Macaca fascicularis: one gene and its partners. The protein of the gene in region 2 interacts with the protein of the main gene of each other region in a pairwise test. Links are inferred from orthologs where the notes say so. Each region holds a gene or a part of one and is shown on either strand. Other genes may lie near its edges. The genes, in order: CALML3, IQCN and MID2.

What was found.
Region 1: the proteins of IQCN (region 2) and CALML3 interact in binary tests that used the Homo sapiens proteins (3 or more experiments, as listed by UniProt). The two-hybrid records come from large-scale screens. The link is inferred for Macaca fascicularis from reciprocal best matches to the Homo sapiens genes IQCN and CALML3.
Region 3: the proteins of IQCN (region 2) and MID2 interact in binary tests that used the Homo sapiens proteins (3 or more experiments, as listed by UniProt). The two-hybrid records come from large-scale screens. The link is inferred for Macaca fascicularis from reciprocal best matches to the Homo sapiens genes IQCN and MID2.

The regions. Positions count from the first base shown.
Region 1 is NC_088383.1:6,448,594-6,451,745, reverse strand, and holds CALML3 (calmodulin-like protein 3), read right to left. Parts: upstream 1,890-3,152; 5' UTR 1,765-1,889; coding exon 1,315-1,764; 3' UTR 586-1,314; downstream 1-585. UniProt on the Homo sapiens protein: May function as a specific light chain of unconventional myosin-10 (MYO10), also enhances MYO10 translation, possibly by acting as a chaperone for the emerging MYO10 heavy chain protein.
Region 2 is NC_088393.1:18,628,915-18,633,359, reverse strand, and holds the start of IQCN (IQ domain-containing protein N), read left to right. Parts: upstream 1-1,609; coding exon 1,610-4,445. UniProt on the Homo sapiens protein: Essential for spermiogenesis and fertilization. May be required for manchette assembly in elongating spermatids.
Region 3 is NC_088395.1:114,394,511-114,398,708, forward strand, and holds the start of MID2 (probable E3 ubiquitin-protein ligase MID2), read left to right. Parts: upstream 1-1,262; 5' UTR 1,263-1,827; coding exon 1,828-1,831; intron 1,832-4,198. UniProt on the Homo sapiens protein: E3 ubiquitin ligase that plays a role in microtubule stabilization. Mediates the 'Lys-48'-linked polyubiquitination of LRRK2 to drive its localization to microtubules and its proteasomal degradation in neurons.

The DNA of each region.
Region 1 (3,152 bases), on a different chromosome or scaffold from region 2:
CTCTTTGTTTTACAAAGGAGGAAACACCGGGTGGTGGTGGGCGGGGGTGGGTGTCAGGGAGAGAGGATGCATCCACCATGGCCTTTTCTGATGAGCTCCGTCTAGGGCCCACACTGGAAAACACACCTCCCTTTAGAACTGAAGGGATCTCTGGCAGGGCCCCTTCAACCTTCTCTGGGTGTTGCCGGCTGCTTGCAGGGCTAGGGCAGGACTAACACCTCTGCATGGCTCTTACCCTGTGTGTGCCCAGCGTGCCCCCCACCATCTTCTAGTGCCTGGCACTTCACAACCAGGGAGCACTTGCCACGGGGAATAAAAACAATCAGCAGGTCCCTTCTCAACATAATGGACTCAGGTCTTTCAAGTCCTGATGGACTTTTAACCACTCTTTGCTGCCAGCATATCCATTTGATTGAGAATATTCAAGATTTCCCTCATCCAGACTTCTCTCTCTCTGAGGCACCGCACCCCACCAAAGGAATTCATTGCATTTTCAAAAAGCACAAAAATGGAGATTCCTGCCTCGTTTCAACGCTGAATGTAACAAGGATCATTTCCATGGGAACCAGAAAAAAGGAAATGAAATAAGAACGAATATCTCATTTATTTCCCTGCAGCTCCCCTCCCCTGCTCATCCAAACCTCCCTCCTTCCAGATGAATAGGAACAGGTTACAGCTGACCCGGTTTCACTCCCAGCTTCAGAGGATGAATCACGGTGGGTTGGCCGACAAGGAAAGGGGCAAGCTGGGGCAGCGTGGAAGGCAGTGCTGTTTTCAGGAGGCCTAACCTCTGTGGCCACAGTCCCCATCAGCACCCCTTACCGCAGGCCAAGAGGCCTCCCACCCTCCAGAATCCGACTGCGGAGGGAGCCTCCAGTCCAGGAGCCTCCGGGAATCCTGGCGTGGGCTGAGGGCTGCAGCCGCCCTGGCCTGGGCATTGGGTGCCTGTTAGGGATCTTGCCTGCGTGCTCTAAGGGGTCACCCTGTGTCCATCCTGACTGGCCGCAGAGTCAGCGCAACCTGCCCTGGTGCTTGGTCCTAAGGTCAGCTCTGCTTCTCCCGAGTGGGGAGGGTTCCACGGTTTGCTTGGAGCGGGAGAGTTCCATGTCATTCAGATGAGCAGGTGGGAAGGTGGGCAGGAGCGCAGAGAAGAGATGCGGGAAGTGGGATGCAGAGAGGTGGGCAGAATCAACCTGGCCCAGGAAGACGCCACCCTGCCCTGGGGAGGCAGCGGGGAAGGAGGAGGAGGCTAGAGGCCCCGGGTTCTTGCCCTGCGGGCCGAGCGGGCGCCCAGGAGCATGGTGGGCGCCGGCCTCACTTGGACACCAGCACACGGACGAACTCCTCGTAGTTCACCTGTCCGTCTCCATCCGTGTCCGCGGCCCGGATCATCTCGTCCACCTCCTCGTCACTCAGCTTCTCCCCCAGCCGGGTCATGACGTGTCGCAGCTCCGCGGCGCTGACGAAGCCGTTGCCGTCCTTGTCGAACACGCGGAAGGCCTCGCGGATCTCCTCCTCGTTGTCCGTGTCCTTCATCTTCCTGGCCATCATGCCCAGGAACTCGGGGAAGTCCACGGTGCCGTTGCCGTCCCGGTCGATCTCGCTCATCATGTCCCGCAGCTCGGCCTCCGTGGGGTTCTGGCCCAGGGACCGCATGACCGTGCCCAGCTCGCGGGTGGTGATGCAGCCGTCCCCGTCCTTGTCAAACAGGGAGAAGGCCTCCTTGAATTCTGTGATCTGTTCTTCTGTCAGCTGGTCGGCCATGCCAGGGGTGGGGGCGTGGGTGGCAGAAGAGGCCACGGCGGGGTCTCCCTCCCAGTGCCGGAGCCCGGCTGCTGTCCCAGCTCTGGGGTGGCAGGTGGAGATCTGGGCGGCCGGCGGGCTGTCTCGCCCTGGCTTGAGTCGCTGGAGCTTAAGAAGCAGCAGAGTCCTCCCCCATCATTGGCAGACGCCCGTGCCCTGCGGTTGCCCGAGCCTGTCCTGTTTAGACAGGAGTCCGGGGCCTGCGAATTGAGCTGACGCCAGCACCTCTGTGCCTGCCTGCACCCGGACCCAGCAGAGCCACAGGGGCCCCGGAATCGCACCTGCAGTTAGGGCGTGGTGGGCAAGCTTTGGAGCAATGCACGCTGGACTGCATCCTCCTGAATTCCCCTTTCTCTCCTCCCTCCGGATCTCCCACCTGCTCCCTGTCTCCCCCTCAATTAACTCCAGTGCCCTTTCTTCTCTTGAGTGGAGGGCTTTTTGCCTGATGAAAGGCAGATGGAAGAAACTTCCTTGCCTTGGGTTTCTAAAGCCGTCTATAGCACCTGAGGGTTTTTGGAGGAGGAAGGTTTTTCCTTCAGGTAGAAGCAGGGAGTTTTCTTATCTTCAGAATGGACATGAATAGGGAGGGGTTTCCTCCAACCCATTCACTCATCCACCCTTTCACAGATATTTACTGAGTGCCTACTATGTGCAGTGTCACTCTGGAAGCTGGGAACACAGTGGGACCGGCAAGCCACCCCCAGTTCTCGTGAGGTTAACTAGCAAGACAGCTAGTTCGCAGGTAAACTAATCGAGGAATGCAAACAAGGTAACTAGGGATTGTTGATAAATGCTGACGGACATACAAGGTGGTGATGGACAGGACCCCGAGGTCACCTTTCGGCCTGGTCAAGGACAGACCCTCTGCTGAGAAGCAGCCGTCTAGGCTGCAGTGGGCATGGCGGGGCCAAGGGCTGGCAGATGATCAGGGGGGCTGCAGGCCTGTGAGGGAGGGGACAAGGAGGAGAGACAAAGGAGCCCTTGAAGGGCTCAGTCAGGAAGTCCCACTTCATAGTCTGGTCCACGGTGCCCCAGGAGCTCCAGGGAGCACGGAGCTGGGGCTGAGGGGAGGGCCTCTCTAGGAGGAGACCTGCTCAGGGGGATGGTGGGGTGTTCACAGCACAGACTCGGCTCCTACTCCCAGGGGGCCTGGGGACATGACCCCCAAAGAGGCAGGAGCAGGCGCTTCACCTGTGGGAATCCAGGAAATCCACACTGGGGGAGAAACATGGGACCCACTCTATTTTTTGCTGGGTGTGTAGGGGTGGGGCAGGGACCTGAATGGGAAAGAAAGTGTCCTTTTGAGGACCTGGACTTGCCGGGGAGAGACTATGGCAGGAGAAGGGCTT
Region 2 (4,445 bases):
ATAAGCCAGCGCACCCAGTCTTTTTTTTTTTTTTTTTTTGGGACGGAGTGTCTTGCTCTTGTTGCCAGGCTGGAGTGTAATGCCATAATCTTGGCTCACTGCAGCCTCCTCCTCCCGGCTTCAAGCGATTCTCCTGCCTCAGTCTTCTGAGTAGCTGGGACTACAGGTGCCCGCCACCATACCTGGCTCCTTTTGTTTTCTTTTTTTTTTTTTGAGACAGAGTCTTGCTGTGTCACCCAAGCTGGAGCGAGGTGTCATGATCTCAGCTCACTGCAACCTCCACCTACCAGGTTCAAACAATTCTCCTCCCTCAGCCTCCTGAGTAGCTGGGATTACAGGCATGTGCCACCATGCTGAGCTGATTTTTGTATTTTTAGTAGAGATGGGGTTTCACCATGTTGGCCAGGCTGGTCTCGAACTCCTGAGCTTGTGATCCACTCACCTGGACCTCCCAAAGTGTTGGGATTACAGGCGTGAGCCACTGTGCCCGGCCTACTTTTCTGTATTTTTAGTAGAGACAGGGTTTCACCATGTTGGCCCGGCTGGCCTCGAACTCCTGACCCCAAGCAATCTGCCGACCTTGGCCTCCCAAAGTGCTGGAATGACAGACGTGAGCCACCCCCCTGGCCAATTTGCCTTTAAGACTTTATTCATCAACTTAATTTACCTATTCATCCAAACCTTCATCTGTCTCTCCAACCCATCTACCATTCACTCATCGACTGATTCATCCTTTCAGTATCTAGTCCTGTATCTATCTGTCCATCCAACTTCCAATCCCCTCACCATTTATCGGTCAAGATGCCCGCCCACCCAATACCTACCCATTCACAGCTTAGAACCAAGCCCTATGACTGAGATGGGACACAATAATGACTCTGCCTTCTGGGATTCACAGTCAATGGGAGAGGCAAATAATCTCCCCCACCACACTTCTCTATCCTTTTCACACACACACACACGCGCGCACACACACACAGACACACGCACACACACACGCGCACACGCACACACGCACGCGCACACACACACACTCTCACACGCACACACATACACACACACAGGCAAACAGGAAATTTCCAAAACATTGTGATCAGTGCTAAACCCAGGGTACATCTAAGATAAAGTTTGAAAAGCGGGCCGGGCGCGGTGGCTCACACCTGTAATCCCAGCACTTTGGGAGGCCGAGGCAGGTGGATCACCTGAGGTCAGGAGTTTGAGACCAGCCTGGCCAACATGGTGAAACCCCGTCTCCACTAAAAATACAGAAAAGTAGCCAGGCATGGTGGCACACACCTGTAATTTCAGCTACTCGGGAGGCTGAGGCAGGAGAATCACTTGAAACCAGGAGGTGGAGGTTGCGGTGAGCCAAGATCACACCATTGCACTCCAGCCTGGGCAACAAGAGCGAAACTTTGTCTCAAAAACAAACAAAAAACAAAAAGAAAGAAAAAAGAAAAGCAGTTAAGTGGTCCGGCATTCAGGTGTCATGCACTGTGTGCCAGGATGAAGTGGCCGTAGGATGACCTCTTGTCTGCAGGACCTGCTACACCCTTACCACCCCCTGCCGCCCCCACAGGCAGAGCTGACCTGCCCAGTAATCAAGGCAATGCAGCCGGCCACCCAGCTACAGTTCACGAACCACTTGTCACCCAATGGGCAGTGCATCCTCCAGCCCCCGCCCACCCCTAGTCTCCCGGACAAAATGGAGAAAGCACCTCCACAGCCCCAGCACGAGGGCCTCAAGTCCGAGGAGCATCTTCCGCAACAGCCTGCTGCAGCCAAGACAGTGTCCCGCCACATCCCACGCCTCCGGGCTGTGGTCGAGAGCCAGGCCTTCAAGAACATCCTGGTAGATGAGATGGACATGATGCACGCCCGCGCAGCCACACTCATCCAAGCCAACTGGAGGGGCTATCGGCTCCGGCAGAAGCTGATTTCCCAGATGACGGCGGCCAAGGCCATCCAGGAGGCATGGCGGCGCTTCAACAAGAGACACATCCTGCACTCCAGCAAGTTGTTGGTGAAGAAAGTGAGGGCGGAGGACGGGAACATCCCTTATCACGCCCCGCAGCAGGTGCGCTTCCAGCATCCGGAAGAGAACTGCCTTCTGTCCCCGCCCGTCATGGTGAACAAGGAGACCCAGTTCCCTTCCTATGACAATCTGGTCCTCTGCAGACCCCAGTCATCCCCCCTCCTGAAGCCTCCAGCAGCTCAGGGTACCCCAGAACCCTGTGTGCAGGCTCCTCATGCTGCTGGAGTCCGGGGGGTGGCCTTCCTGCCACACCAGACGGTCACCATCAGATTTCCCTGCCCAGTGAGTTTGGATGCAAAATGCCAGTCATGCTTGCTGACCAGAACCATCAGAAGCACCTGCCTCGTCCACATAGAGGGTGACTCAGTGAAAACCAAACGTGTAACTGCCCGGACCAACAAAGCTGGGGTTCCGGAGACGCCATTGTCCAGAAGGTACGACAAGGCAGTTATGGGACCATCCAGAGCCCAAACCCAGGGCCCTGTGGAAGCAGAGACCCCCAAAGCCCCTTTCCAGATATGCCCAGGGCCTGTGATCACCAAGACCTTACTCCAGACATATCCGGTGGTCTCCATGACCCTGCCGCAAACATATTCAGCGTCCACGACGACCACCACCCCACACAAGACTAGCCCTGTTCCCAAAATAACAATAACCAAGACCCCAGTCCAGATGTATCCGGGGCCCACAGTGATGACCAAAACTGCACCTCACACATGCCCCATGCCCACGATGACCAAGATCCAGGTGCACTCCACAGCTTCCAGAACTGGCACCCCACGGCAGACATGCCGCGCAACCATCACGGCAAAGCACCAACCTCAGGTTTCCCTTCTGGCCTCCATCATGAAGAGCCCACCCCAGGTATGCCCAGGGCCTGCGATGGCAAAGACCCCACCCCAGACGCACCCGGTCGCCACCCCAGCCAAAAGCCCACTGCAAACGTGTCTGGCAGCCACCACGTCCAACACTTCATCCCAGATGAGCCCGGTTGGGTTGACCAAGCCCTCGCGCCAGACTCGCCTGGCAGCCATGATAACCAAGACCCCAGCCCAGTTACGCTCAGTGGCCACCATCCTCAAGACCCTGTGTCTGGCCTCTCCAACAGTGGCAAATGTCAAGGCTCCACCCCAAGTGGCGGTACGAGGCTCCATCCATGACAACCCACCCAAGGCCAAGGCCACCATGAATATGAAGCAGGCTGCAGAGGCGGTGAAAGCCTCATCCCCCTCCTATTTGGCTGAGGGGAAGATCAGGTGCCTGGCCCAATCACGTCTGGGAACTGGGGTCCCCAGGGCTCCAGCTAAGCTTCCTTTGGAAGCTGAGAAAATCAAGACTGGCCCCCAGAAACCGGTGAAAGCTGACATGGCATTGAAGACCAGTGTGGCAGTGGAAGTGGCTGGGGCTCCATCCTGGACAAAAGTTGCTGAGGAAGGGGACAAGCCATCTCACCTGTATGTGCCTGTAGACGTGGCTGTCACCCTGCCCCGGGGACAGCCGGCTGCCCCACTGACCAACGCCTCATCCCAGAGACATCCACCTTGCCTGTCCCAGAGACCACTGGCCACCCCGCTGACCAAGGCCTCATCTCAGGGACATCTGCCCATCGAGCTGACCAAGACCCCATCCCTGGCCCATCTGGTCACCTGTCTGAGCAAGATGCATTCCCAGGCACATCTGGCCACAGGTGCCATGAAGGTCCAATCCCAAGTGCCTCTGGCCACCTGTCTGACCAAGACGCAGTCCCGGGGGCAGCCGATCATAACCAAGCGCCTCATCCCAGCTCACCAGGCTGCTGATCTCAGCAGCAACACCCATTCCCAGGTGCTCCTAACAGGGTCCAAGGTGTCCAACCAGGCCTGCCAGCACCTCAGTGGCCTGAGTGCCCCACCCTGGGCCAAGCCAGAGGACAGATGGACTCAGCCAAAGCCCCATGGACATGTGCCGGGGAAGACCACTCAGGGGGGACCATGCCCGGCAGCCTGTGAGGTCCAGGGTACGCTGGTGCCACTGATGGCACCCACCGGACATTCCACATGTCATGTTGAGTCCTGGGGAGACAGCGGAGCCACGCGTGCCCAGCCATCAATGCCCAGCCAGGCGGTGCCCTGCCAGGAGGACACGGTAGGCTCCCTGCTGGCCTCCCTGTGTGCTGAAGTAGCTGGTGTGCTGGCATCCCAGGAGGATCTCCGCACTCTGTTGGCCAAAGCCCTCTCCCAGGGAGAAGTCCGGGCAGCTCTGAACCAGGCCCTGTCCAAGGAGTTCCTGGGTGCCACTGTCGCCAGAGCCCTGCCCCAGAGCATGCTGAGCATGGCGCTGGTGAAGGCGCTGTCCTGGAGTGAGCTGCGCCTGACCCTGTCCCGAGCCCTGTCCCAGGGCGAGCTGCGGGCAGAACTCGCCAAGGTCATGC
Region 3 (4,198 bases), on a different chromosome or scaffold from region 2:
TCCCGAGTAGCTGGGACTACAGGCGCCCGCCACCTCACCTGGCTAGTTTTTTTGTATTTTTTAGTAGAGACGGGGTTTCACCGTGTTAGCCAGGATGGTCTCGATCTCCTGACCTCATGATCCGCCCGTCTCCGCCTCCCAAAGTGCTGGGATTACAGGCTTGAGCCACCGCGCCCGGCCGGGGCCAGACTTTCATCAGGGCAGCCTGGTTGTGATTTTTGCCTTGGTTTCCACCTCAGTGATCTCTAGCACATTGTTTCACAGGAGTGTTGACTGATTACTATTGGTTCCCTGAAGGGATATACCAAGAGATACCTCAATTTTTCTGGGCTTGTTCTTATGCACAATGATGGCAGGCGTGTGTGTGTGTGTGTGTGTGTGTGTGTGTGTGTGCGCGCGTGCGCGCGCGCGCTGGGGCAGGTCCTCTCATTTCATTTCTTTCCCCTTGTTCTCTCTTTTTGCCCCAAGTTAGAAACAGTCTCTTATGGGGCTTCCTGCTCTTTCCCTCTCCCATCCACCTTTTGAGTGGGGGTCACTCCAGACCAATGGGAGGATGCTGGATTCCAAATGGACCAATTAGCTTATTAGGGACCTGGAATACCTGGATAGCTAGCATCTGCCTCATTGTCCTTGTGGTAACGACCCTCTTGTTTTACTGGTCAACAATTTGAAGGTACAAGAAAAATCCTGCTTTTTTTTTTTCTTTTGATGGCTTTAATCCACCTTCACAACTTCTGCCCGAGGCCAATAAAACACAGCCATTCTCTCTTTGTAAAAAGAAAGAGGGGTTGGGTTTCCTTCAATTGTCTGCCCTTTTCTATCTCCTCCACTATTTTTGTTTTACTCTGTAGTTAACTTTGCATAGAGCAGCTTCATGGAGAGGATCTGTGCGGTGGACCCGGGCACTCTCTTCTTATTACCGGTTGCAAAGGCCTCTTCCTTGTTCTAACCTGGGGTTTGTGGGGCTGGGGGACAGAGGAGTGGGGAGTGGGAGAAGAGTTTAGCCATAGTCTTCCTTCTGCATTTCACACACATTCTGCTTTCTCTGTCGCTCTGTCACTCACACACACACACACACACACACACACACACACACACAACACACACATACACACACACACACCCGCCCGGGTCCCTCTCTCTGTGTCTTCCTTCAAGATGACAGGGCGCTGGAGAAAAGGCTGCTGGAATCAGCTGGTAGGTACAGTAGTAACCCGAGCCCCACCCACCGGCTGCCTTTGCTTGCTCAGGTTTCTCCGGTCACTCCTGCCAGGGGAGAAGACATGTAAACGTGCCTCCAGAGGAAGGGCTGGGGGAGCTGGGAGTGGCGGGGGCGGCGGAAGGTGAGCCTGGGAAGGTGTCCGAGCGCCCCTTCTTCTTTGGCCCTTCCCAGTGCTCCCTTGGGGTGTCAGCCCCAACCCCGTTTGCCCCCACTCCGCCTCCCTTTTGGAAGGGATTGCCTTTTTTTTTCCTCTGCGGCGGCGGAAATGACAGTGTGGTGCTGCCGTGGTGTCATGGTGCTGCCCCTGGACTGAGGGGCGAAAACTCTTAACTTCAGCTCGGGAGACCCAGCCGCGGTAGCATCGCGGCCGCCGTGCTATCCCCTGCGGGGCGCGCGGGCTGGCGGATCCCGGCTGCTGCGCGGCGTCGGCGACGGTAGCGGCAGCTGCAGCGAAGGCGGGCGGCGGCCTAGAGTGGTGGCGGCGGCGGCGGCGGCGACCGGGGCCCTGGAGCTCGCGCCGGAGCCCGAGCTAGCCCGCTGCGGAGGCAGACGAGCGCCCAGCGCCCTCGAGCGAGCAGAGGAGATGGCTGGCACCTGGGAACGCTATGGGTAAAACGCGCCCCCTCGCCGCGGCCCTGGAGGTCGAGCGTCGTCGCCCTCGCAGGGCTCGGCCCTGGCTCCGGCCGCTTTTCAGGTGCCGCCGGGGCCCGGCGTTAGCCGAGGGCTCTCGGGCTCGGCGGGGCAGGGTGATGGGGCCCGCGAGGCTCGAGACGGCGACGGGGGCCCCAGATCAGCTCCGGCTCCCAGTCATGCTGTTGGGGCTCGGGTTCCTGCCACTGCCCTCCTGGGACAGAGTTTGCACTCCGGGGTGCGGGGCGGGGGCGGCCGAGGCCTCTGCGCAGCCGGGCCGGGCCGGGCGCGGGCAGTCGAGCGAATCCTCCGGCGCCTGGGCGCGAGTCTGGGAAAGGGCACGGCCGCCTTCCCACGCTCCCGCAGCCGGCAGCCTCTTCGTCCCCGGCGTCGCCCCTTGGCCGGCCGTCTGCCGGGCGGTGCTGTCGCAGCAGCCGGCGTGGCTGCGGACGCCCTGCCGGCGGGGAGGCCCGGTGAAACTTAATCCCTTTTCTGCCAGGGGAGCGATCCTCGAGTCTCCGTCTGGATGGTTCCTTATTTCTGGCCTAGCTGTGAAACCAGCTCTGTGGGGGAGAGGGAAAACTTACATATGTCCACAGGACAGACTGCGACGCAACCAGGGAGAGTGGGGATTTTCCATTCCTGCCTTGTAAGAATTAAGTAAATAACGGCAGAGTAGATTTACAGGAATATTACTGGTGATGATAAGGTTTAGGTTACTTAGCACTTCGTGTGTTGCACATTATTTTTCAGAAGTGTTGCTTCTTAGAGCAGGAAATTGAAATCCTGGAGTCGTTTTACTCTTTACTTTCTCTCTCTCTTCCACTGTCCCCTACCGTTTTCATGATCACTCACCTTCCTATGTCACAACACTTACATGACTATGGAAATCCCGCACTAGAGCGCCTTGGACCCCAGGCTTTCCCCATCAACCTGTGCCCTCCCAGCCTCCCAGCCATGCTGCATCTTACTTCTTCAACCACTTTGCCTTTTGAGGATTTCTGAGTGTGGGGCGGATAGATGGTGATGGTTGTGTGTCTCTGAGGATGAGCCCTTATAAAGGAATATATTGGAAACTAAATAGAGAAGTACCATGTGTGGGTTGATCCCTCTGATTCTCAACTTGGGCCAGAAGGGCTGCCTTTAACCCCATTCTGCTCCGTCCCAGTACTCTAATCAGTTCTCTGGCAATATTCCAATAGAAGGGAGTTGCTGAATAGGGAGTTCTCCTCCCCTACTTTTCTTCTGTTTGGGGAGTGGTTTCATTCTACCCCAGATGGTTAGCTTCCCCCTCCCCACCCCCCCGACACTCACATCCCCCTGTCTGTCTCCTCTCATGACTGTACTGAGGGAGAAACTGTCTTTGCTATTTTTATATATTCCTGCCCAATCAATGAACTTAACATGGGTATATAATGTGAATTAGATTTCTCCTGATTGCTCCTCACAACTTGATTCATGTGTTTGATAAAGTTTGGATATTTATCCCTGCCCAAATCTTATGTACAAATGTAATCCCCAGTGTTGAGGTGGGGCCTGATGGGAGGTGACTGGATCATGAGGGCAGATTTCTCATGAATGGTTTAGCACCATCACCTTGGTTGACTGTGAGTCCTTGTGATAGTGAGTAATCTCTCCTGAGATCTGGTTGTTTAAAAGCGTGCGGCACTTCCCCCCAGCTCTCTTTCTCCCTTGCTTCTGCTCACACCATGTGAGAATCTCCTGCTCCCCATTTGCCTCCCTCCATGATTGTAAGCTTCCTGAGTCCTCCTCAGAAGCAGATGCTGGCATCACACTTCCTGTACAGCCTGCAGAACTGTGACCCAATTAAACCTCTTTTCTTTTTTTTCTTTTCTTTTCTGTTTTTTTTTTTTTTTTTGAGAAAGGGTCTTGCCTCGGGCTTAAGCAATCCTTCTATCTCAGCATCTTGAGTAGTTGGGACCACAGGTGCATGCCACCACACCCAGCTAATTTTTGTATTTTTTGTAGAGATGGGGTTTTGACATATTGCTCAGGCTGGTCTCGAACTCCTGAGGTCAAGCGATCTGAGGGCCTCACCAAGTGCTGGGATTATAGGCAAGAGCCACAATGCCCAGCCTACCTCTTTTATTTATAAACTACCCAGTTTCAGGTATTTCTTTAAGGCAATGCAAGAATAGCTAATGCAGTGGTTAAAACACAGGTCCAGGAGTCAAGAAGATCAGAGTTCATCCCAAATCTGATGTTACATTGGCTTATGGCTTTAGGACATTCCTATGACTTTTCTTTCTTAGTTGGTGCACTTGTGTAAAAGCTATAATATTGTGTACTGGGTATTGTTAGTCTTGACTTGGTCCTTTGAAGATG